4 linked regions of the Drosophila melanogaster genome follow. The gene in region 3 interacts genetically with the main gene of each other region. Each region holds a gene or a part of one and is shown on either strand. Other genes may lie near its edges. The genes, in order: Afti, spdo, AP-1mu and WASp.

Evidence for each region.
Region 1: of AP-1mu (region 3) and Afti, changing one enhances a phenotype caused by changing the other (phenotypic enhancement), as found in Drosophila melanogaster (one study listed by BioGRID).
Region 2: of AP-1mu (region 3) and spdo, changing one suppresses a phenotype caused by changing the other (phenotypic suppression), as found in Drosophila melanogaster (one study listed by BioGRID).
Region 4: of AP-1mu (region 3) and WASp, changing one suppresses a phenotype caused by changing the other (phenotypic suppression), as found in Drosophila melanogaster (one study listed by BioGRID).

What each region holds. Positions count from the first base shown.
Region 1 is NT_033777.3:14,320,642-14,328,596, forward strand, and holds Afti (aftiphilin), read right to left. Parts: upstream 6,049-7,955; 5' UTR 5,641-6,048; coding exon 5,496-5,640; intron 5,438-5,495; coding exon 4,116-5,437; intron 4,058-4,115; coding exon 3,919-4,057; intron 3,609-3,918; coding exon 3,231-3,608; intron 2,647-3,230; coding exon 1,145-2,646; 3' UTR 436-1,144; downstream 1-435. Other genes in the region: ATPsynE (ATP synthase, subunit E), read left to right, coding at 6,650-6,895; spn-B (spindle B), read left to right, coding at 7,570-7,624, 7,685-7,846, 7,908-7,955.
Region 2 is NT_033777.3:30,474,834-30,479,397, reverse strand, and holds spdo (sanpodo), read right to left. Parts: upstream 2,715-4,564; 5' UTR 2,586-2,714; coding exon 1,224-2,585; intron 1,145-1,223; coding exon 809-1,144; 3' UTR 549-808; downstream 1-548. Other genes in the region: PH4alphaEFB (prolyl-4-hydroxylase-alpha EFB), read right to left, coding at 1-279.
Region 3 is NT_033777.3:9,557,164-9,561,399, forward strand, and holds AP-1mu (adaptor protein complex 1, mu subunit), read right to left. Parts: upstream 2,363-4,236; 5' UTR 2,087-2,362; coding exon 1,265-2,086; intron 1,206-1,264; coding exon 747-1,205; 3' UTR 549-746; downstream 1-548. Other genes in the region: BckdhA (branched chain keto acid dehydrogenase E1 subunit alpha), read left to right, coding at 1-273; MBD-like (Methyl-CpG binding domain protein-like), read left to right, coding at 2,678-2,868, 3,109-3,450, 3,760-4,236.
Region 4 is NT_033777.3:28,828,992-28,833,695, forward strand, and holds the start of WASp (WASp), read right to left. Parts: upstream 3,034-4,704; 5' UTR 2,827-3,033; intron 2,323-2,826; exon of another isoform or gene 2,228-2,322; intron 2,150-2,227; exon of another isoform or gene 2,003-2,149; intron 1,687-2,002; 5' UTR 1,628-1,686; coding exon 1,511-1,627; intron 1-1,510. Other genes in the region: Apc (APC-like), read right to left, coding at 4,244-4,704.

The sequences.
Region 1 (7,955 bases), 4.8 Mb from region 3:
GGAATGCATGGGAGTTCTTCTATCAACTAACAAATCCTATTTCATATACAACACGTTAACTATGTTTGCTTGGTTAGTTCGCTTTCCTGTCGCTTGTTATAAGTACACAATATAGAAAAAATTCGCATCAGGCGGGTTGGGTTTTCATCCATGTGGTGGTGGTGGCCCGCAATCGCATTGGAGTATTTGTTATGGATATACAAAAGGGGAAGTTCGCCGCTAGTGGAATGCATTTGTAGGCTTTGCCGCAGGGATTAACTGATGATATTCCTCAGATAGGCGGAGTTTTCCGATTTAGGGTTCTAACTTTGGGGTTGATTAAAGCTAAAATCATCATGGAACTAATAGTTTTACATTTTTAAAAGTAATGCCGATTTTTTCCTTACTTGGGATACTTCCGAAATCCTTGTTATTAATTTGTATCTTTTCTTTTTTGGTCATCTATGATAAATCTTATGTTGTTATATTGATATGACCGCATAGAGATATTGCATGCTATCGGATGCATAAGCTTAAACCTTAAAATCTCGCAGGATTTCAGAAATATCCCTTAAATTACATAATTTCACTGGTGTGCGGTATTCTTTTTCGTTTTACTTTACAATTCTTCTAGAGTTTTTTGACTTATTTACCCAATAATTCGAATTCTAAAAGTATATCCGATCATTTAAATAATATTAGATAAAAACAAAGAATTTTTCAAGCATACTAACAGTTTTTTCGCTCTACAAAATATTATTTTTCAAAAGTATAATTTTTTTCGTCAAATTAAGTAAAACATAAATTTAGAATCAAACTATAGCACAAAATGGTTACTTGTTTGTTTCGTTCTAAATCCTGATTTTTACGCCTAAGACTACAACATGCATGCACAACAACAACAACAATTATGCCAACGACAAGGTTAACAACAACGACAACAACATGGAACACAGCTTGCCTCAAAACTACAATGTGTGACGGTTCGGATTATGGTGAATATCAGACGGATTCATAATACTGACTGGCTACCCGGGTGCGCGATCGATCCTTTCGCCTATGTGAGGATGGTGGCCTCGCCGCCACCCAGTGGGCGAGGAGCGCCCACATGCGGACGCTGCTGCTGCTGCTGGAGCCGCCCACCGCCCACCCTCAGCTTCTTGTGTCATTTCTTGCCACCGAAAGTGGGTTTCGGTAGCGCACCCATGAACGCACCAGCATTTGTGGGCAAGGCCGGTGCAACGAAGCTGAGATCGGGGATCAGGGAGATGCGTGGAGCCACCTTGGCGTTGCCGATTTGGAACTGCTGCCGCTGATGCTGCTGCTGGTAGGTGGCACCCACACCCAATCCTCCAGACACGGGTGCAGTCGAGAAGTCGTGCATGATGTGTATTTGCTGTGGAATGGCTGGCACATTGTTGTTATTGCTGCTGCTGGTGCTGCCCTTGGGCACTAGATTGCTATGAGGCTGTTGCTGCAGCTGCTGCTGCGCCTGGTACAAACTCAAGGGATTGTTGTAGAAATTAGCGCTCTGCCACGCACCGGAATTGAATTGTGGAGCCGGTCGTGCTGGCGGAGTACTGCTCACAAAATCCGACCAATCATCTTCTTTGGGAGCAGCTGGTTTCCTAGCGTTGCTGTTGACTATATTATTGTTGTTAGCAATTGCGTTTTGCTGATGATGCGGTTGCTGTTGGGTGACTGGAACAGAGACAAAGTCCGACCATTCATCGTCTTCTTGAGGCTGAGACTGAGCTGGCGTGGAAGGAGCTGGTTTCTTGGCCACCGAAGCGCTTATGGTGAGCGGTTTGGCCTGCGAGGAGAACAACTCCTCTATCCTGGCCATTTCCTCGGCATTTATGCTAGACAGAGCATTGTCGCCCCATTCAATAGTTGCAGCTGGCTTCTTTGCCAGCGGAATGGCTTGGGGCAGCAGAATAGCCGGACTAAGGATCATCTGTTCGCCAAAAGTGGGTGTATCAATTCGAGACCTTGGCGCCGGCATAGATTGAAAATCACTAAAGTCGTCATCTTCCGTCGTCTGTGGTGGCAACTGAAAGCTGCTGGCAGCTCCATTGCCACTCAGTTTGCTGGGCGAATCCAGACCAAATGGGGGTTTGTACTCCACGTCGCGATACTCCTTCTTCACCACCGTCTCATCGATGATAATGCCCGTCGCAGCCATCTCGTAGTCGAAATCAATGGGCGCTAGTGTGGTGGTCTTGGCCACCGCCGTATCCGATTTGGAGGGCGTATAGATATGGGTCTCCTTCAGCGGCACCGAATAGCTGGCCATCGAGCTGCCCACGATCTCCTCCTGAGCTGGCGCTGCGGCCGGAGGAGTGGTCCTCAAATCAAACTGCTCCGGCTCCGACCGCTGCTGATGCAGCTGCTCACCGCCGTTGAGTTTGTGGGCAGGGCTGTCTGCTGATAGAGTAGTCGGTAGCGTCGCTGCTGCTGCAGCAACAGCTGCTGCTGATGCCGCTGCTGTGGATTCAATATGGTTCGATTCGGGGCTGGGGACTGCAGTTGGCTGGTGGCTATGACTCGGTCGCTCTTCGCCGTCGGAATTGCTGGCGGAACAGGAGCCGGTGGAGCCTTCCCCATGAGACGGGCCAGTCCGCGTTTCAGTTTGGCTCGCCGTTGTTGCGGCGGCGTTTTCCAATCCTGTGCGAAGGAAAGAAAACAATTACTTGGCTGTCATGAATGAAAACTATGAGATAAACAAAGATAATTAATTAGTTATTCGGCTATAATCATCTGTTATGTTGCAGATAACTAAAAAAACACTGTGCTTATGAAAGATATGGAATGGATATGGATACTAATCTTGCATTAATCATTTTATTTTACTAGATACATTGTATCTTTTATAGAATCAAAGAAATCAGAAAATGGTTACATTTCAAGCATTACTTTTAGTTACCAGATTTAGCAACACATCAGATGATGGCTTAGTTTAGAGACAATATTTAGGTATTAGTATGATCAACTGTATCTAGCTAAGTAAAATGTGAAAATGAAGGGAACTCTTGGGCGGGCTTCAACTACTTGTGCTAGAACTGAGCTGGCTGAGATTGGATGCGTTGTGCCAAAGTAACAAGAACTGGGGGAACTGTGGATCGGTAGGACGGTACGGGTAGATAGAGAGATAGAGCTGAGAAGTATATAGAGAATCGAAACTGAACTGAACGAACCAAAAAAGAGTGGAGATTCAACTACAACACACGCACAGAGCCAACGAAACTTACTAAAATCCAGCAAGGCGTCGTGAGCAGTGAGGTTTGTGTTAATTGTTATTGTCATTGTTGCAGTATTTTTTGCATGATTGTTGTTAAGATTGTTGGGATTGTTATTATCGTTATTATTGTTGTTGCAGATGGTGGCAAAATGTGTGAGTGATGGAGAGTGGTGCAAATCGATTGTCAAATTGTGATCGTTATGGGTCATCAAATCCATCACAGGTGGCATACAATCCAGTTGATCAACGGGTGCAGCAACGTCGTTATCACCATTATCGTTGTTGTTATTGGTGTGGGAGTTAGAGGTAACAAGATTTATTTTATCAGCATTAGCCACCACCGTTAGTTGGTCTAGTTGTTCCAATTGTAATGTCTGTACATGTGATTCTAAATACAATTTATCGTAAGGATAAACTTTTTGATTGTTTGTTGAGATAGTTAGAAGTAATGTGGTCACAAGGAAAAACAAGGCAAACGAAAATCAATAAGAATATATAGAAAGGAGCAGCCAATCGAACGGCAGGCCAATCCGGGAAGCGTGTGTCAATAGGATCGGGAAATAGGCAACGAAAAGCGTTTGAAAGTAAAGCGAGCGTTAGGCGATAGGGTGGCAATTTCTCGATTTACGAAACTTGTGTAGCGGTTAATTTGCGGCAACTAAGTGGAGCAATCTCGCAGAGACTCTAAGGACACTCACCCTGGTAGCTGGTGGAATTGGAAATGGGCTCCAGGCTGCTTGCGGCGCCGGTTGATTGAGGTTTCAGCGGCTTCAGCGGATCAAAGCTCAGGTTGGCAGCAAAACGTGGCATCGATGAGTTCCACTTGTCGCCGAAGAGCTGGAAGTTTATGAATTTCAGTTATTTGAAATACATTTTGAAGCCCTATCTAACTTACTATATTCCTTGAATCGATGCCCAGCGATCGAACAAGGGCGTGTCTCATTTCCGAGCTGCTCCATTGGTAATCAAGGGCTTGGGCATGCTCTATGGCACCAAAATTGAATCGCTGGCACTGAGCCAAAGGCCTGCGATTGTCCATACTTTTGCTGTCCAGTTCCGTTGGTTGTGGAAACATCATATCAAGGACTGGCTTAACCCTTTCATCTATGCTCAGATGGACAGCAGCTGGCGGCGGTGGCGGAGGTACAGAAACAGGAGTCACTACGGGCGCGGCGAAGTCGCCAAAATCATCGTCGTCTTCGCTTTGACCGTGGTTTCCATTCGCAGGAGTGGCAAACTCCTGAAAATCATCGAAGCCATCATCGGTCTCTGCAGGAGGTAACTTAGAGGATTCTTCTGTGCTAGGAGCCGTCTTAACCTCTAGAGGTTGAGATTCCGTTCGGGAATTGATTGCTAAGGAAGGTGTCTCAAAGGCAGACGTTGAATTCTCCGTGATTTCTAGTTGGGGTTCTGCTGCTGAGAAATCCGCAAAGTCACCGAAGTCATCATCATCTTCTTGCTCTTGCATTTCGGGAACAATTTCTTTGTGTACTAAGTCTTTTGGCGTCGCATCAAGATTTGTAAATGAATATGTATCACTATTTGCTGGTTCACCCCATTGGTGAGGGGATTCCTCCTGATTTGGAGGATTTGATAAGCCACGGCTTTGATTTTCCATAGGCTTTTCTAAGGTATTTGAACTTTCCTCCTGGGCTTCCAAACTTCTAAAGCTTTCTTCTGGCTGGGAGGTATTCTCTACGTATTCTCCTTTCCCTGTATCCACATTCTCCTCCGAAAAGCCTTCTCCATATGGTAGGGTTGGAGTGGCCAATACCTCTATGGCAAAGAAATCCACAGCTCCCTCGCGTATAAATAGTTCTTTGGGCTTCTTTGGCGAGCACTCCTCGTCGCTGTCATCGGACACATCCTCCAGCGTGACTTGGTGGCTGAGGATATGGGCTTTGGTTGTTTGCATAGCCGGCGGAGCAACTGCACTAGTCTCCGCAACCGGTGAGAGTGTGGAGGCGGCAGAAACGCTTTCCGTGGAATAGAGACTTAGACTGTCCAACTTAAGGGAGGGCACATGCTCCTCCAGTTCCTCATCATCCAGTTCCAAGCTCAACGGAGGCGGCGTCGGCGGTGCTGTTTCCTCGAAAACATCGTAATCCATCTTCTGTTTCACCTGGTAATTAAATGCCTCGACGGTTTGTTTGTCTTCCAGCAAATCAGGTGGCTTTTCTCGAAATTCCTCCACGGGATCTGGTGGTGGAGGGGGTTCTAAAAAGCGAGAATTAACTGAGTATCACTTTGAGATTCGATAAATATCTAAGCTTGCCTTTCGAGCTGCTGACTAAGCCAAAATCTGAGTATTCGTCACCCTCGTCCAAATGGATGGTGGATTGTAAACCGGAATCGTCGTCTTCCTCACCAAAATCGATGGGCGGGGGGGTGCTGCAGAGCAGCGGTGGTACATTCACCATAATGCCAGCTGCAAAATTCAGTAAAAGGATCCCCTAAAATTCACTTCCTGCTTCAAGAAGAACAACAAAAACGCTGGGAACGGTTCGATCTTCTATCTCTCTCGCTCCACTTTATCACTGTGTGTGTGGTGTGTATGTGTGACGCAGGTGTGGAGGGCCTGCAAGTGTGTGTGTGTGTGTTAGCCACTCAAGGTCTGTGTTGGAATTTTCTTGTTTGCATTTAACACGCGTCAATTTTGTTGTGTCTCTGTATTATGTCTAATTGTCGCCTTATTGGTGGCTCTAAAAACAGATTTGCCGAATTTGCAAGTCGCGTTTTATCTGCAATTAGCCATGTTTTCCAGAAAACAATACTTTTTCCTCTGCCCACAGTGTGAACGTTTAACTTTTGGCCAACCGACAGTGCTGAAAAACGTTGCGCAACATTGATAACATACAAAATTTGAATCTTATCTTTTTCAATTCCCATTTTCGATTTAAATCATTATCCATAGTTCAGATAGAATAGTTATATTAGTTATATTTCTATAATAGATTTTTATTCTTTCCAATTCTTTTACCGTTAAAATTGTATTTGAAAATTATTAGTAACAAGAGTAAAATATACATGAAAGTCTAGGCTGCAGTATGTAATACGTCAAATTTTGTTGGGACACTAAACAACAAATAGTCGTCATAAAGGCTTCTTTTAAATTGTTATGATATTTTCCACAATTTCTGCATACTTTTTTAAGCTTGCTGGCAACGCCGCCACCGTACCAATACAACTATCGATAGCCGCCTGTCAGTTTTGACAGCTGTTTTAAGGTTATACTGCGCTGCCGTTGCAATCGCTCCACCAATTTGGTAATTTTGCTTATTTAACATCAAATATTGCATAAAACTAGGAAAACCAGGAATCTGTAAAGTGGAGCGAGACGGGGAACGCTATTAAGGAAGTCGGATAACTAAAGTACATCCTTTTCTTGCAGTTCACGGTCGGACAATTACATAACTTGAAGAAGAAACCATGTCGCAGGCTCCCGTTCGCGTTTCCCCGCTGATCAAGTTCGGCAGATGGTCCCTGCTCCTGGTGGGCATTGCCTACGGCGCCGCCCACCAGAGCCGCCTGTCCAAGAAGGAGGAGAAGTTGCGCGAGATCGAGGCACAGCAGAAGGCCGTCCGTGATGCCAAGCTCGCCGAGGAGAAGAAGCGCAGCGCAGAGGCTGAGGCCCGTGCCTTGGCTGAGCTTTCGAAGCCCACTCCCAAGCACTAGGATCCTTCAGGATGCAACATCCGCAGTTCCCTTAGCTTAAAAACATTGAAAAACCACAACATTTACACACGAAGTTCGCCCAAAAGGAGGAGCATCATCGATAGTGGAGCCACCATCTATCGATCACTGACTATCGTTTTTGTGTTTTCCTCTGATGCTTGTGCAAAAAACAGAATGTTCGAAATTAAATGATTGAAACAAAACCATTATGTAAATACTCTCAAGTGTTTCGTGTTTGTGATTAAGTGGTGTTCACTGGAAATATATTTATATTAGCATAGTGTTTGGATAGGAGAGGATTGAGAGAATTTGAGAGGGTTTGAGCTCCAAATTTGACTAGGAAGTACATATAAATATTTTTGCAAATTGATTATCAATAATTTTCCTAAATTTTGTTTTAAATCTTTTTTGATAAACAACAACTGATAGTTTACCTTATTGGATGCCCACTGTAGTTGCCAGCTGATTGGCCCACTTAAGATATTGGCGCCAACAGCTGATTTCAACCGGCGTTTATTTACACTTTCAATTCGCTCGCAAGTCGTCGCATGGCTCGGCTGTTTGATCAATAATCCCCCGGAATACTTCCAATTCCGGAGGTGTTGAGACACCTTTCGTGTTTCGGGGAGCCATTATATCACGCAATCCCATCGAGGACATGCCATCGCATCGCGATGACAAACTTTCTGGATCAATTGCCCAAGCATATCAGAGAAATCGCCGAGCAGGGTAAGAGTTTTGGGGTTCCAACAACTTTATTCAAGAGCCAACTAAATTCCTGTACTCCAGTTAATGTTCTCGCACCGGAGGAGGTGCTGACAACTCCCAAGGTGCGATTCCTGGACACCCGCCAGCAATCGCTGCACACAATCGTGCGAAAATGCACTCCGGATGATGTTAGGGTGCTCAAGGATGCGGCAGCCAAGTGGCTGGCAGAGATGCCCCAGTCAGGTGATTCTCAGACTAATGTATAAGTAGCCTCTTGTGTTTAGTTTGCCACTATTTATTACAGCGGATTCCCTCTTCAAGCCGCTTGTCAATGTTAGATGGTCGCGGGTGT
Region 2 (4,564 bases), about 21 Mb from region 3:
GCCACACTCGAAGTGTCCAGTTGGTAGGTGTCTTGCAGGCGGAGCAAGGCCACCGCCGCGCCATTGAGGTCCTCGTCGGAGGGGAACTTCAGGAGGCTGCGATACTGGGTGATGTTCTGCAGGAAATCCGTGCCCACGTCGTGCTCCATGAGGTTCTCCACCTGACGCCAATCGGTGGTTAGCCGCTTAGTCAGCAGGTACGCATTGATTGGATTGGATACATAGGCGGTTATATCATGGGAGGCATCCGAGTGCTCCCTCTGGTACTCGTCCATTTTGCTGCAATTTAAAGAGAGGGCAAAACTTAGTAGACAGAAGAGCAAAACACATTGCTTTAAAATATGCACCGTATTTCAATAGTTAAAAGGTGCTGAAAGCTGAAAAATAATTGTTTACTCAATTAAGTTAAGTATCACGACGCTGAATCTATAATTTTAACACTCGACCTATATTTGAAAGTGTTTATTCACCATATATATATTTTTGATTGTTAAAGAACTAACCTAATTGAACACTTTAACCATTTCCTTATTGATACAAAATGCTGTGCTGGTATCTACGTGCCTTTATTTTATTCTTATTCCATAACATACTTATACTTAGGTGAACAATAAGTTAAGCAAACTAAGTGTTAGCAATAGGTACAACCCACTTGTTATATACAGTCGTTTGGGGGATGATGATCTTCCGCTGATTATAAATCTAATTCTTGTTTTTGGTCTTTTAGCCGTTCGGTGTGTCAAGTTCTTGAATTCGAAGTGGATGGTGTACAACTAATTAGAGTCTAGGATTAACTATTTCCAGGGTATTAGACCACGTTGACGCGGTTGTCTGGCGGAGGTCGGTGGCACCACAAGCTGCCCAGCACTCCCAATCCGATGAAGAACATGGTGAAAGTCGACAGTCCAAGGATGACGCCAGTGGTCACATCGTGGACAGGAAATCCGGGGAAGGGGTCCACCACGAGTATCACAAGCAATCCGCAGGACTTGAATAGGCAAAATACGGTGACCAGGATATAGCCGGAACTATAGCTCCTGTTCGGCAGCCACTCGCAGTGGCGCGACTTGAATCCCAGGAAGCCGAGTCCCATTCCGGAGAAGGAGGCCACCAGGCTAAACTGCAGGTAAAAGGACTTTCCGAGCTGTAGGCGAAGAAAAAGTGTTATTCAAATGTTTCCATGGACAAAATGAATATCTTTAAAAGTATTTGAGAGTACTTACGTGTGCTATCATGTAGATGATGAGCCCCGCATTCATGGTGCTGCCCAAGACGAGCATCAGGGAGACAACGGCCAAGGTAATGGTGGCATTGGCCATCTTCTGCGGATAGGAGCTGTTTTTCTTGCCCTTTCCCTGGATGCTGCTCATGTCCTGTTCCCGTTCCTGCTCCTGCCCCTGCTCCTGGACCCTGGGACTGATGACGGCCATGGATCGATCGGCGATCTGCATGGGAAGCGGCTTCACGGTCTCGTAGTGAAGTCTCTGGGGGGAGAGTCGATTCTGGCGAAGTGGCAAGGTTGGAGGGACTCCTACTACCGCTCCAACTTGTTGGCTTTGGTAGATCTGTTGGCTTTTGTAGATCTCCAAGCGCCTTTCCAGCTGCAGCTGCTCGTGGTGGGCGGCGTTCCGGGGCGTTGAGTGCGCCAATCGCGGAGGCGGCTGCATCTTCCTGGGCGTGGTCAGGAGCTCGTGCAGGGCCCTCGTAGCGGCAGCCGCATTCTTTTGCTGCGGCGTTGAGGTCCTCGCTGCGTACTGCCTGCTCAATTCCATGTTGCTCAGGCAGGTTTCCTGCTGCTCCTGCTCCTCCGCCAGATCATCGTCGTCCGCATCCGTGGGCACCACTGCATATCGATGGGCGCGGCCATTGTGCATCTGTATGATCTCCTGGTTCTCGTCTACCAGCTCCTCGTCCTCGGCGGTGGGCACCATCTGGTACCTCTGGTTGCTATTCTTATCCACTATCAAGAAGGTCTTGCTGCCGAAGTCGCTACTAAAAGCATGCTTAATCTGGGTTTGATTGGCATTGGTATTGTTGTTAATATTCCTGGGCTTGGGCGGCAAATTAAGTATCGGTGGCAAGCTGGCAAACTGGGTCTCCTGATGGGGTTCCTCGTGGAAGGAGTGAGGCTCCTCCTCTTCGTGCAATCCATGTCTGGAGCCATAGCGATCCAGATTATCCTGTGATCGGGCCAGTCTCTGTGCCGCCTGTCCTGGAACTATGGCGTATCTACTGGCCCTACTGCTGTTCAGTTCCTCTAGGGGAACCAAGGCATAGCGACCACTAGAGGATTGCGGCTGGTGTTGCTGCTGCTGAGCCAGGTGTTGCTGGTGTATCTGCTGTTGGTGTTGCTGCTGCTGCTGCTGCTGGTGTTGTTTCCGCGTCACCGATCGCGTGGACATGCTACGCTGCATTCGCAGTGGACCCTCGCGGGGATCTCGAGTGGCGCGCGGAGGAGCCGCTCCAAAGTTCATCTGGAGGCTTCTGTTGTAGATGGACTCCACTCGCGACGAGTTGCCGCTGGGCACCGGGTAATACTCGCTGTTCTGGCAGAAGGCCGGGTTCGTATAGTTATGCTGCGACATGTTGGCACTGTACTGGTGGCAATTCCACAACCTCTTAGGGGTGTTCTTTCACTACTTTGGGTTTTCTTTGGGTTCGTAGCACTGTTCACGATCCGCTCGCCTCGGCAACTGCGACTCGACTGATCTAGAGAGCCGTTCCAGACGGCAGCTCCTCAACTTCCTCCACTTCCTGCGCCGGCGCGCAGTCGAGTGGATCGTGCTCCGATACGAGTCCCCACCCCATAAAACACCATTTACTTGTACATAAGACACCCGTACACCCGTACAATGACCGACTGTGTTTGGCGCGTTCCATTAGGCCATTGGAACCGAACCGAATGTGAAAACCCAGAAACATCTGCTCCTGCTGCTCGACGAACGAACGGGGGTTGAAACGCATTTCACTTCCAACTGAGACGTCTCAACGCGATCCTAACCAAAACCTAAAAACCCCTGGCGAATTGCAGGAGCAGCCGGCGTTTTATTCGGTTCGCGTTTATCGGCGTTTTTAATTCTTATTTACCAACTCATATGCGCTCCCTTGCGACTTTAATTCTGTTTTGCTACCACTTAGTTGGCGAGTTGAGGGGTATGATGAATGTGTTTTAAATCCACCTAAGATTATACTCGAACATAACCAGTGTAGAGCAGATCATATCAGCACACTGTCATCACCGAGAATTCAACATAATTTAACTATCATAAAAGTGTTTTTTCTTTATTATAATCATATAAGAACTAGTTGTTCTTGTTCCTTTTGTTCATCCGCTGCTTTGTTTCTCGACCGAAATATTTAAAATAGTTTATTGTTTGTTGAAAACATATCGTGCTTTTATTATATATGGTTAGCATCCGTATATCGGCACCATTAAAACAAACTTTTAATGAATGCTTTCACAAAACAGTTTAGTTTAATATGCACATATTTCTGACGTAAAAGCGTCAAGCCATAAAGTAGAGCTTAGCTTCAGTCAGAAAGAAATGAAACAAAAGAACTTAAGAGATTAAATTATTTCACTTCGCTTATTTATTTTAAGGGGTACCCTTCAGTCGCGCTTGCTTCTTAAAAATAATCCTTGCTCAGCTCTGATGTTTGTGCAGACCAAAAACCTTCCCTAAAGGCAGCCCTCCCCGGATTTTTGTTGCCCAAGCGACCGTTACATTTGGTTGTCAGAGAAAAACGATAAAAAACGAAGAGTTCGTGGGTCAACTTTATCCGGATTTCGCCTCCCACGTGCATACATATGTACATGCCTTTGAGCCCGCAGGTTGGATGCACGCGTGTTGTCCTTTTGTGGTGGCCAACTTAATTGCCTTTTGGCCAGAAGCAAATCAGCGCAGCCGGGGGCATTTGTCAAGCGGATTAGCCAGAAATTGGAGGCACCAACAGCTGGTCGGTGGGAAAATTTAAGATGCATATAAAGTTAAACGCCGGCAGACGGCACGCGACTAGAGTGCGGGGTTTCTGCACAGTATCCGAAGGATACTCGGATGCAGATACTCAAAGGCAGGGGCAATGACAGCGCACAAGGATAACAGACAGAGACGGCAGGCACACAGCTGTCAGCTGTTTGCGAGGATCCTGTCTCGTCCTTTGTTGTGACACAACCAAGGTACAAATGCAGGAACAGAAACTCAACTAAACTCAACTGAACTGAACAGCAGAGAAACAGCCGCAAAGATAGATCCTGAATCCTGAGTCCTGAGTGCGACTGGCATTATTTGATTAGGGGAGTTGTCTCACCGCATCCTGCACCCTGCTCTCTCCCCCATATTATTTCCGCTGCCAGTTGTCATATATATACGCCACATAGATCCCCTTCGCATATAAGCAAGAGATATGTATCTGCAGTCATGTGTGTGAGGGGCGCCTCCTCAGATACATTTACAGATACAGATACACACTCAGTTGTAGTAAAACAGCATAGGTGCGTGCAACAGCTGCCCTCGCACGTGGCAAAAGTAATTACCAGAATGCAAGCGACTACCTGAACGTCTAT
Region 3 (4,236 bases):
TCGGTGGAGCACCCAATATCCAAGCTTAAGCGCTACATGGTGCACAAAGGCTGGTTTGACGAGACTGTCGAAAACGAATATGTCAAGGACATAAGGAAAAAGGTTTTGAAGCAGATCGCAGTGTCCGAGAAGAAACTCAAGCCCAACTGGCGTGAGATGTTCGAAGGCGTCTACGCGGAGATGCCGGATCATTTGATTGAGCAGCGTAGCGAGCTGGAAAAACATATCGAGGCCCACAAGGAGCACTATCCCTTGAAGGACTTTGAGAAATAGATTCCAGATAGGTGCCATAAAGATGCTAACAAATCAGAAATCAAAACGAACCGAGAGACTCGATCGAAAGTGCATTTATTATGATTAAGCAATAGGCAAACAGTTTTTTGTGGGTTCAACCCGTTTGTTATGACTCATCTGTACAGGTGGGTCGGTGGATATGTGAAATTAGACACTTTGGGTTTTTGGGTTTTCTCTGACCAACGAAGAGGATAAACTTGGTTGCATCCTAGGTCTTAATTTGCACATACAAAGTGACCCACTCTGGTGCAGGTGTTATGAAAAGGTGTTAAAATTTATTAAATTTGATTTACATACAATATACATATACTGAAACAATACGAATACAAATATATACTTTTGACTTAACGCAACGCATCGCAGACAAAAACGCGGGTGGAGATGAAGCTACCTGTTGCAGGATGACTCGCTGAAGCTTGGCTGGAATGATGCAGGAACGGGAGTTGCCCCTTTCAATTGGTGCGTAGCTGATAGTCGCCGTTCTGCGTGATGTACCGCACCCATGGCAGCGCCTGATAGCCGCTCTTCTCGATGATCTTCAGATAGCGCACCTGGATGCCCGACGTGGTAAAGTAGGGAATCTCGAAGCGCACCTGAATTGGCGGCTTGCCCTCCGTATTGTCCTCGCTTTCCACGCTCGGCAGACCGAAATGTGCCCGCATTAGATACTCCTTGCCACCCGGGAACGATTTGATCGTCCAGATGATTGCGTTCTGCTCCGGTGCGTACTTGCAGCTTCCAATGGTGGTCTTGAACTTGGGTGAGTCCGCGTCGGCGGGCACTGGTATGACGATTTCCACGTTGTTGGCCGTCGATCTTCGCTTGAACTGAGACTTCGCCTTAATCATGTACTCCACACGGGAGTGGGCATGCCGCTCGATCACTGATTCGATCCAAATCAGGGGTTTGACCTGTCAACAGGGGTTTAGTTAGTCTTGCATTTTGGTGCTAAGTACATAAAAATACTCACATGCGTGTTCAGACGATAGGACATCAGTTCGAACTCGCCGTCCGGAGGAATGAACGAGATTGTCCGGTCATTCTCGAAGCGTGACAACCGCACGCACTGGTGGAACTTGACGTCCTCCAGCTCTACGGACTTTGACTTGCCGCGGCCCGTGCTCTCGAACAGAACCTTGTCGTTGAGACCCAGTCGCAGCTCTGGCATTCCCGACAAGTAGACGCGCATCTTAATGGCGCCCACGATCTCGCTGCGCAGCACATTGCCATTGGCGTTTGCGAGAAGATTCACCGACTCGATAACGTCCAGGAACACCTCGTTCTTGCGATACTTAATGCCCTCGGACCGCCAGGATACTGCATTGGTCACGGCCACCGGGATGCGGGGCTGTAGCTCCAGCTTATGACCCTCCTGCGTAATGTATTCCTGTAGAATTTTCGAGTCGGTGGTCTGCGGGTAGCCAAAGTCGAGCAATTCATCCAGCAGCTCGTAGATGATCACGAAATTGTCCCGAATGGACTCCTCCTCCAGCTCCTTGAAGTATTCCACAAAGACCTGCGCGATCTTGTGCAGAAAGACGAAGACCAGAGCGATATTAACGTTCTTATTGCGCGGCGTCGTGGATACGATATAAAGATTGTTCGTTTTGATGTAGGCAAATGTAGTCTCCGCCGTCTGAAGGATCGGAGTGATTAGGCCCTCCTCCTCGCGCTCCATCAGCAATGGCATGAATTTGTCGATCACGGCCATGTCGATGTTGTCACCGCGGTAGTTCCGCGATATCAGCACCTTGCCCTTCACGTCCAGAACGAAAATGGCCGACGAAGACATGTCTCTTGGTTCCCAGCAGCTGCCACTTGTCCCAGGTGTAAAATTCCCAATTGGATCGAGTGGGAGGTCGCTTCGATGGTTCTACTGCTCGCGGCAGGCGTTGCGCGTGGAAGTTGGCAACTGTCGCGAGGTGGCGATGAGTGGGCTAGGTCTATCAATGGGCTGGATTTACATATTCCGTTTCGTAGACTGGAAAATGCGAATGAAAACTCCGGAATTTCTTACGTCGCCTTTTCTGCTGCTTCTTTTTCTTATTAGTTGGCCCACCAGTGCTGTGAAATGTTCACATCAGGTGTTGGGCAGTGTGGCCAGGTGAGATTGGTCTACTGCTGATTAACTAGCGAATTAAGCTTAAAGGAAATGAAAAATGTGCAAGGTGTAACATCTTAAGGTTTCTGTTTTTAAATAAATACCTTTTAAATTATTTTCATTTTCCCATTGGTACCTTTAAATTCAAATCATAAATATATTGGAGAATGTAATCTAGCATCACTATTGTGCCATCCGGCATTTGTGGCCATCCGCAGTACGGCCACACTGCTAGCCCAGACGCTGCTTTTGTGGAATTGTTAATTATTTATTTCGGCGAGCATGCAAATGAACCCGAGCGTCACAATCGAGCGCAAACGCGTCGACTGCAGTGTCCTGCCAAAGGGATGGCAGCGCGACGAGGTCCGAAAGTCCGGCAGCAGCGCCAATAACAACGCCAGCAGCAACAACAACAGCAGTGCCACAGCCAGCAGCAACAACAACAATAACAAGGTGGATGTTTTCTACTACAGGTAAAGAAGAAGAGCAGAATTACTATATAGACTACTATATACCTAAAATCGGAACACTGCACGCTGTTTAATCGGATAAACGTTTATAATCACTTTCACTACCTTTCTGTTATTACATCCGCATAACCACACACACACACACCATATACACCACACACACGCATACGCCTATGTATACACACGCACACGAACTACCACCTAACCCACCAAAAATATCCATCCACCGCCGTGTCTGTTCAGCAGTCCCACAGGAAAAAGGGCGGAGGGAAAGCCACAGGACATTGCAATCCCTGATTTCCAGCCTGGCAAAATGCCGCACTGCGCCCTGCCCTCGCCCTCCATTTCGCTGTACCGCTGCAGCGCCATGCCGCTGCCTATAGCAAGCGGGGGCGGTAATGGGGCCACCAGCGGATCGGCGGCCAATGCCCTCAAGCGCAAGTTCGCCCGGAGTCAAGGAGGCAATGCTGCAGGAGCAGCAGGAGCTGCTCCTCCGGCAGCGACCGCCTCGTCAGCAGCAACAGCGACAGCAGCATCTGCTTCACCATCAACGGCCAATCGCCAGCAGCAACAGATCGAACTCAGGTAGAGCCAAGTGGATGAGCACTTGACTCTTGCATGTCAGCGTGTCATGTCTTGTTTGCCAGGACGCAAGGTCTACAGCCTGCGGCAATTAAAAAGCATCAAATGAAAAAATACCCAAAGAAACACACAATTGGCAAAACAATTCGTAGTTGTCTTCAAAAACGCTGTAGCTCTGTGCCACCTGAGATTTATGTTCCACCATCTCTGCATGCTAAAGCTTTACTTTACGCTTTGTCTAATGTGCTGTTCGGTGTTTTAGCTTTTTGAAGGCGTTTCTCTAATACATTTCCAATCTTTAATCCCTTACAGCCGAGCCCTGCGCACTGATGTCTCCCTGGTGCCTCCCATTCGACAGACTGCCTCGATCTTCAAGCAACCGGTGACGGTGATTCGCAACCATAAACAGGATCCCGCCAAAGCGAAGAATGAACCCAAGCATGGCACTCGGGAGAAGCCGAAACAGCTGTTCTGGGAGAAGCGACTGGAACGACTACGCGCCTGCCACGACAGTGGCGAGGAGCTAGACGACATCTCACTGCCCAAGACCATACGCACCGTTGGCCCCAATGTCAACGAACAGACCGTCCTCCAGTCGGTGGCCACGGCCCTGCATATGCTCAACGCCGGCGTACACGGCCAGAGTTCTACGAAGGCTGATTTGACCAAGAATGCCATGGCGTTTATGAATCCTGAACAACCGCTAATGCACGCGGTGATCATTTCGGAGGACGACATACGCAAACAGGAGGATCGGGTCGGAGTTGCGCGGCGAAAGCTGCAGGATGC
Region 4 (4,704 bases), about 19 Mb from region 3:
ATCGGGTTTGCTAAGCTGCAGCTTTGTGTGTTATCACACGATATCGCACAAAGACGGGCAGCATTCGATACGGTGAAAACAAGATATGGTTTGGTGATTGATTGAATATTTTCCACCAGGTAATCTCTTTCTTTATCTCAGAGAGCAGAGCAGGGCAAACGAAAGATGTGGGATTAATGACATAATTTACAAATCCCCGAACGTTTTCATTGACTTGCCCAATACCCGTAGCTTCAGTGAATCAAAAGCAGAGACTAAAAATATGAGAAATGGATTGGTAGTGCCTTTCTGAGTGTCTTCAAAAGGGGCCAACTGCCTTAACCAGCCCACTGGTTGCATTACTTTGGCAGAGTTCAAATGCATTTGGAAATGTTTTGTCAATGGAAAGTTGCGAATTAGCAAAGCGTGAATTGCGAATCGAAATTAGCGATTTTCCCATGTTGTGCACACCATAATTATCCGCACAACGGCCGCCGTTAAATGACCACATTCCAAGTTTCCACTCCAATTTCAGGGCATTCTTATCGCACTTGGCATTGGCCGGTGATTCGCATTGGGCGGGCGGATTGATAAGATAAGGTTCGTCTGTATTTCGCCTCAAATACTATATGTACCCCCACTCTTATCACGACCCAATGGGCCAAACTAATGGTTTCTCTTTCGTTTCGCACCACAATCGGCTTTGGCACCCCAATACTACGAAGGAATAGAGTTGGAAATAAAAAACTAATCAAGAAGTGCAAACAACTGCGCTTGTGGCCTATCAATGCCGGCTCAAGCCGTTTGCTGATAGAGGCTCTAAGAAATGCTAGGTAAATATTAGTAATGTTAACAAAGTCTAACAAATTGCTCTAGTAACACTGGCCAGCACATTCGGACTCTGATCTGAATGAATATTATTTATTCCTTATATACTCCTAATTTCTTAATGAGCATTTAATACGAGAATAGTGCCCAATAAGTTGTAACCTACATATGTATGTATGGGCACCATAAAACATCTGTGTAACAATGATTCATCTTGTTTTTTTTTTGTATAGTACAGAGAACATTAATCTAAATGGTTATCTGCACTGACTCAAGTAGACTTTCCAGCAAAAGAGTATGTCTTTCAATCAAAACCAAAGCTAATAATGTGTACGATACTCCCATGCAAGTTTTATAGCTGACCAACTAACTATAGTGCATAGAACTCTAATTTTGTTCACAGTTTAGCTTCCGGTGCCATCTTTAAATGGGCAAAGAAACCATTCAACTATGTTGGGCAGTGTGCAAGTGAAATTTGGTAAATATGACAGGCAGCTGCCCGTAGACCGTAGAATGATATTATGATATAGGGTTACTGTGCTTCGAGTGAAATTCGCACACGATGGGCGACACTTGAGCCGCAGGAAGTGCTTCATCAAGCCGTGGGATTTGCTCGGCGAAGGCGGAGGAACACAAACCATGTCATTGCTTAATTATTAATCACCCGATTGGGGGCATTATGCATCATCAGTACTCGACTCACCTGGCACTTCTTGCCCAGCAGCTTGAAGACGGCCTCATTCTCCTCCTGGGTGAGCAGCGTACTGGCGGCATTGACCTTCGCCCGTGGACCGTCCTGCGACCTCATTCCGCTGCTCATCTGGCCGGTTTCGTTGGATCTGGGTCTGGTGCTGGATATGGGGATCTGGGCTGGTTTCCCTGCACAATACGGACACAATACGCATTTTATTGTGTGGCGAAAACAATACGCAAATGAACAAAAGCTAAATGTATTAATTTAATATCACAAAACGCTGGGGACCCCGAAAAAGTAAAAAGTTCATAACAATAAAGGCACACGGAGTAACAGTTGAACTTCGATAGAGTGAACAAAAGTTTGGGATCGTAGGGTTGACGATACAATATGAAAAGTTTGAGCTCCCATAAATATACTAAAGAGTTCAGAAACTGTATAATATTTAACGTTTAAATGAATTATTGCAGTCAACGCCTTCGAATATAAAAAGATAACTACACTTGGATAGGCTGCCTATTTTTTTGTACAGTGTACAGCTTGTAAAAACTCCGATCTACAGAGAGTTTGAGCAACGGAGTCCGAAGTGTGTTGCGAATAACCCGATTTGGGATCGAAGAATTATGGTTTTGGGACTGCTGAATCGATTGACAGTATTGTCTTTACGGTTTTGAATGGTTTTCAGCCCGAATTACGGCCAAGAGCGCGAGCGAGAGAGACCGAGACCTGCGCTGGCTATGACGATGTAGCTGGTTATGGTGTCGGCGGGGCTGCGAGCGGATCGCCTGGTCTGAGTCACGGTGCCCGAGAGTCGGAAATCAGAAGCAGAAACAGAAACAGTCAGCCAGCAAGCCAGCCAGCTGCGTTTGAATGTGGGCAAAAGCCAGGCCAGTGGCAAACTCTTCGAAAAGAGCCCTTATCTTTGGCGAAAAGCACTGATTAGGTGTGCGCATGTATCTATGTGTGATACATGCACAGTGGTCTGGGTTACTCAACATTCGGCACTCGCCACAAGCCACCAGCCAATCCACCCCACTGTGCGCCACTCCGTAGCTCCAAGATTTGTGACAACACCTGTCCGTCGTCGCGCCAGGTGGGGTGAAAATGCAAATGTAAATAGACAGACGCTGCTGCGGATTGGGAGTAAGTTCATGGGTTGGGTTGGTTCGGCTTGGATGGGATGGGATGATGTGCTGCCCTACTCAAGGTCTCGAATTTCCCTTGTGAGCTGCTCTGCTGGGGGGGTCGCCCATTGATTTTTTGCGTTTATTTTCGTGCACTGCTCTTCACTCTTTCGTTTTTTTCCCACACACAACACAACACACCACAAAATCTGTGTAGTCTCTGGCCTTGCGGATTCCGGGACTCTTATCGGGAGGCTCTACTGTGCGCGCGTCCGCGTCATCGAGTGCATGGCGTTGAAAACGAGTGTTCCTCGGTTGATTATTCGTCTGTTCCCGGACGCAATGCTAGTTTGTTTATTCATTTATTTTTTTTCACTCCAATTCAATTGCTGCCAGTGTGACCGACCGAAAAAGGCGATAGGCTAAAAATACTATCCTTTCGATAATTTCCTAAAATATGCATCAAGCTCTGCCAAGGCCCTGTGCAGACCATGCTCGAGACTTTTCAATTTTGCCCATCACTAGTTCCGCTTAAAAGTTTATCAAAAAGTTTCAGGCAATTCCGTTAAGAAATCGCGAGTGGAGAGCTGTGGGAATAGTATATTTTTTCATTTATGTTATCTTTTCCGTTAAATTTGATTTTGTTTACCACGCCCGTAAATTCGAATAAATATTTGTTCATCTGGCTTTCAAAATATGTTTTATTTTGATATAAATTATAATCGAGTAAATTCACATTGGTTTAATTTTTTGCTGACAAAAAGCATATTTCGATTTATTCATATTGAAAATGGTTAATCGCATTGAATCGGTAAAAACTAAGTCGCAAATGATGAGCTTAATGCATAAGCTGTTTCCTAAAACAGTTACCCTTAACTTGCTAAATTATATAAAAGAATACTTAAAAAGCAGTGACTAAAAAATGTGAATTTCTTCTCTCTTCAGATATTTGGTGTTTGCATAAGGAAGCCAGGGGCATATTTTAAACTTAGAGTATATTCTCAATAAAGATGTGCAACTATATGATTGTAATTGATTTCAGTAGCTCACCAGTTGGAGGACAGCTCATCTAACTAAGTGTTAAAAAAGTTAAATCAGAACAGACATTCGACTTGGTAAACCTTTCCTAGTTAATGCGACAATCGAATATATAGCATTTATATATATGCCAGTATACATTTTGTATATATTGGGTAGTTGTACACATGTTGAAAGGCCTGATTTTGTGTATATATATGCAATACATTTGGCTACACACGATCGGGAGCATCGGGAGCTTCCTTCTCTGACTGTGATTTGGATAAGTTGAAGTTACTAGGAGTTTGCGCTAACTCTATGCTAAACTGGTTGCTTACAAAGTTTTAGGGTCTACGTATAATGTATAAAGTAAAAGGAGAGTAAAATATGGATTACATAGCGTATGTATATTAACTCCTATCCTAAAAACTCTTTGATTTTGACTCTGACTCTAGCTCGGCTTGTGGATGTGGACCTGTGCGTGTTCGGTTCCTAAAAAATGCTTGACAAATACAGTCCTGTTCCTCTTACAATCTCCACTTCCGTTTTCGCTTTAACTTGGCTAATTTGTGATCCATACTATCCTGAACAAATTAACCCTCTATTTCCGCGCGCCCACCACTGGCAGCTTGGACTTGACTCCTCCAGCGGTGCTGGGGGTATTGTCAAACGTGGAGCTGCGCAGGAGCGTCGGCTTGGTTCCATTTGCGTTGAGCATGTTGGAAGATTTGGTTTTCTGCGTCCTCAGGTTGGATGACGATTGCTTGGTTTTGGCCTCGTCCACTCTCTTCCAGATGTTGGCGATACGACTTTGCGCATGGTTGATCTTGGCCGCAGCTGCTGCGGCTGCACTGCTTCCATTTAGGTTGGAGTTGCTGCGGGATGGTGGAGTAGTGGACGACACGCGGCCGGAGACCACACGTGAGGCAGCGTGAGATTTGCCCGCAGCTAGTCGCAGACTGGTGTTTGCCCTTTGAGGCGTCATTCGGCGGGCCGGCGCCAAGGGAATCCTCTTGGGAGAGCCCGCTTTCGATGGTGACCCACCGCTGGCCGTGCCTTTCT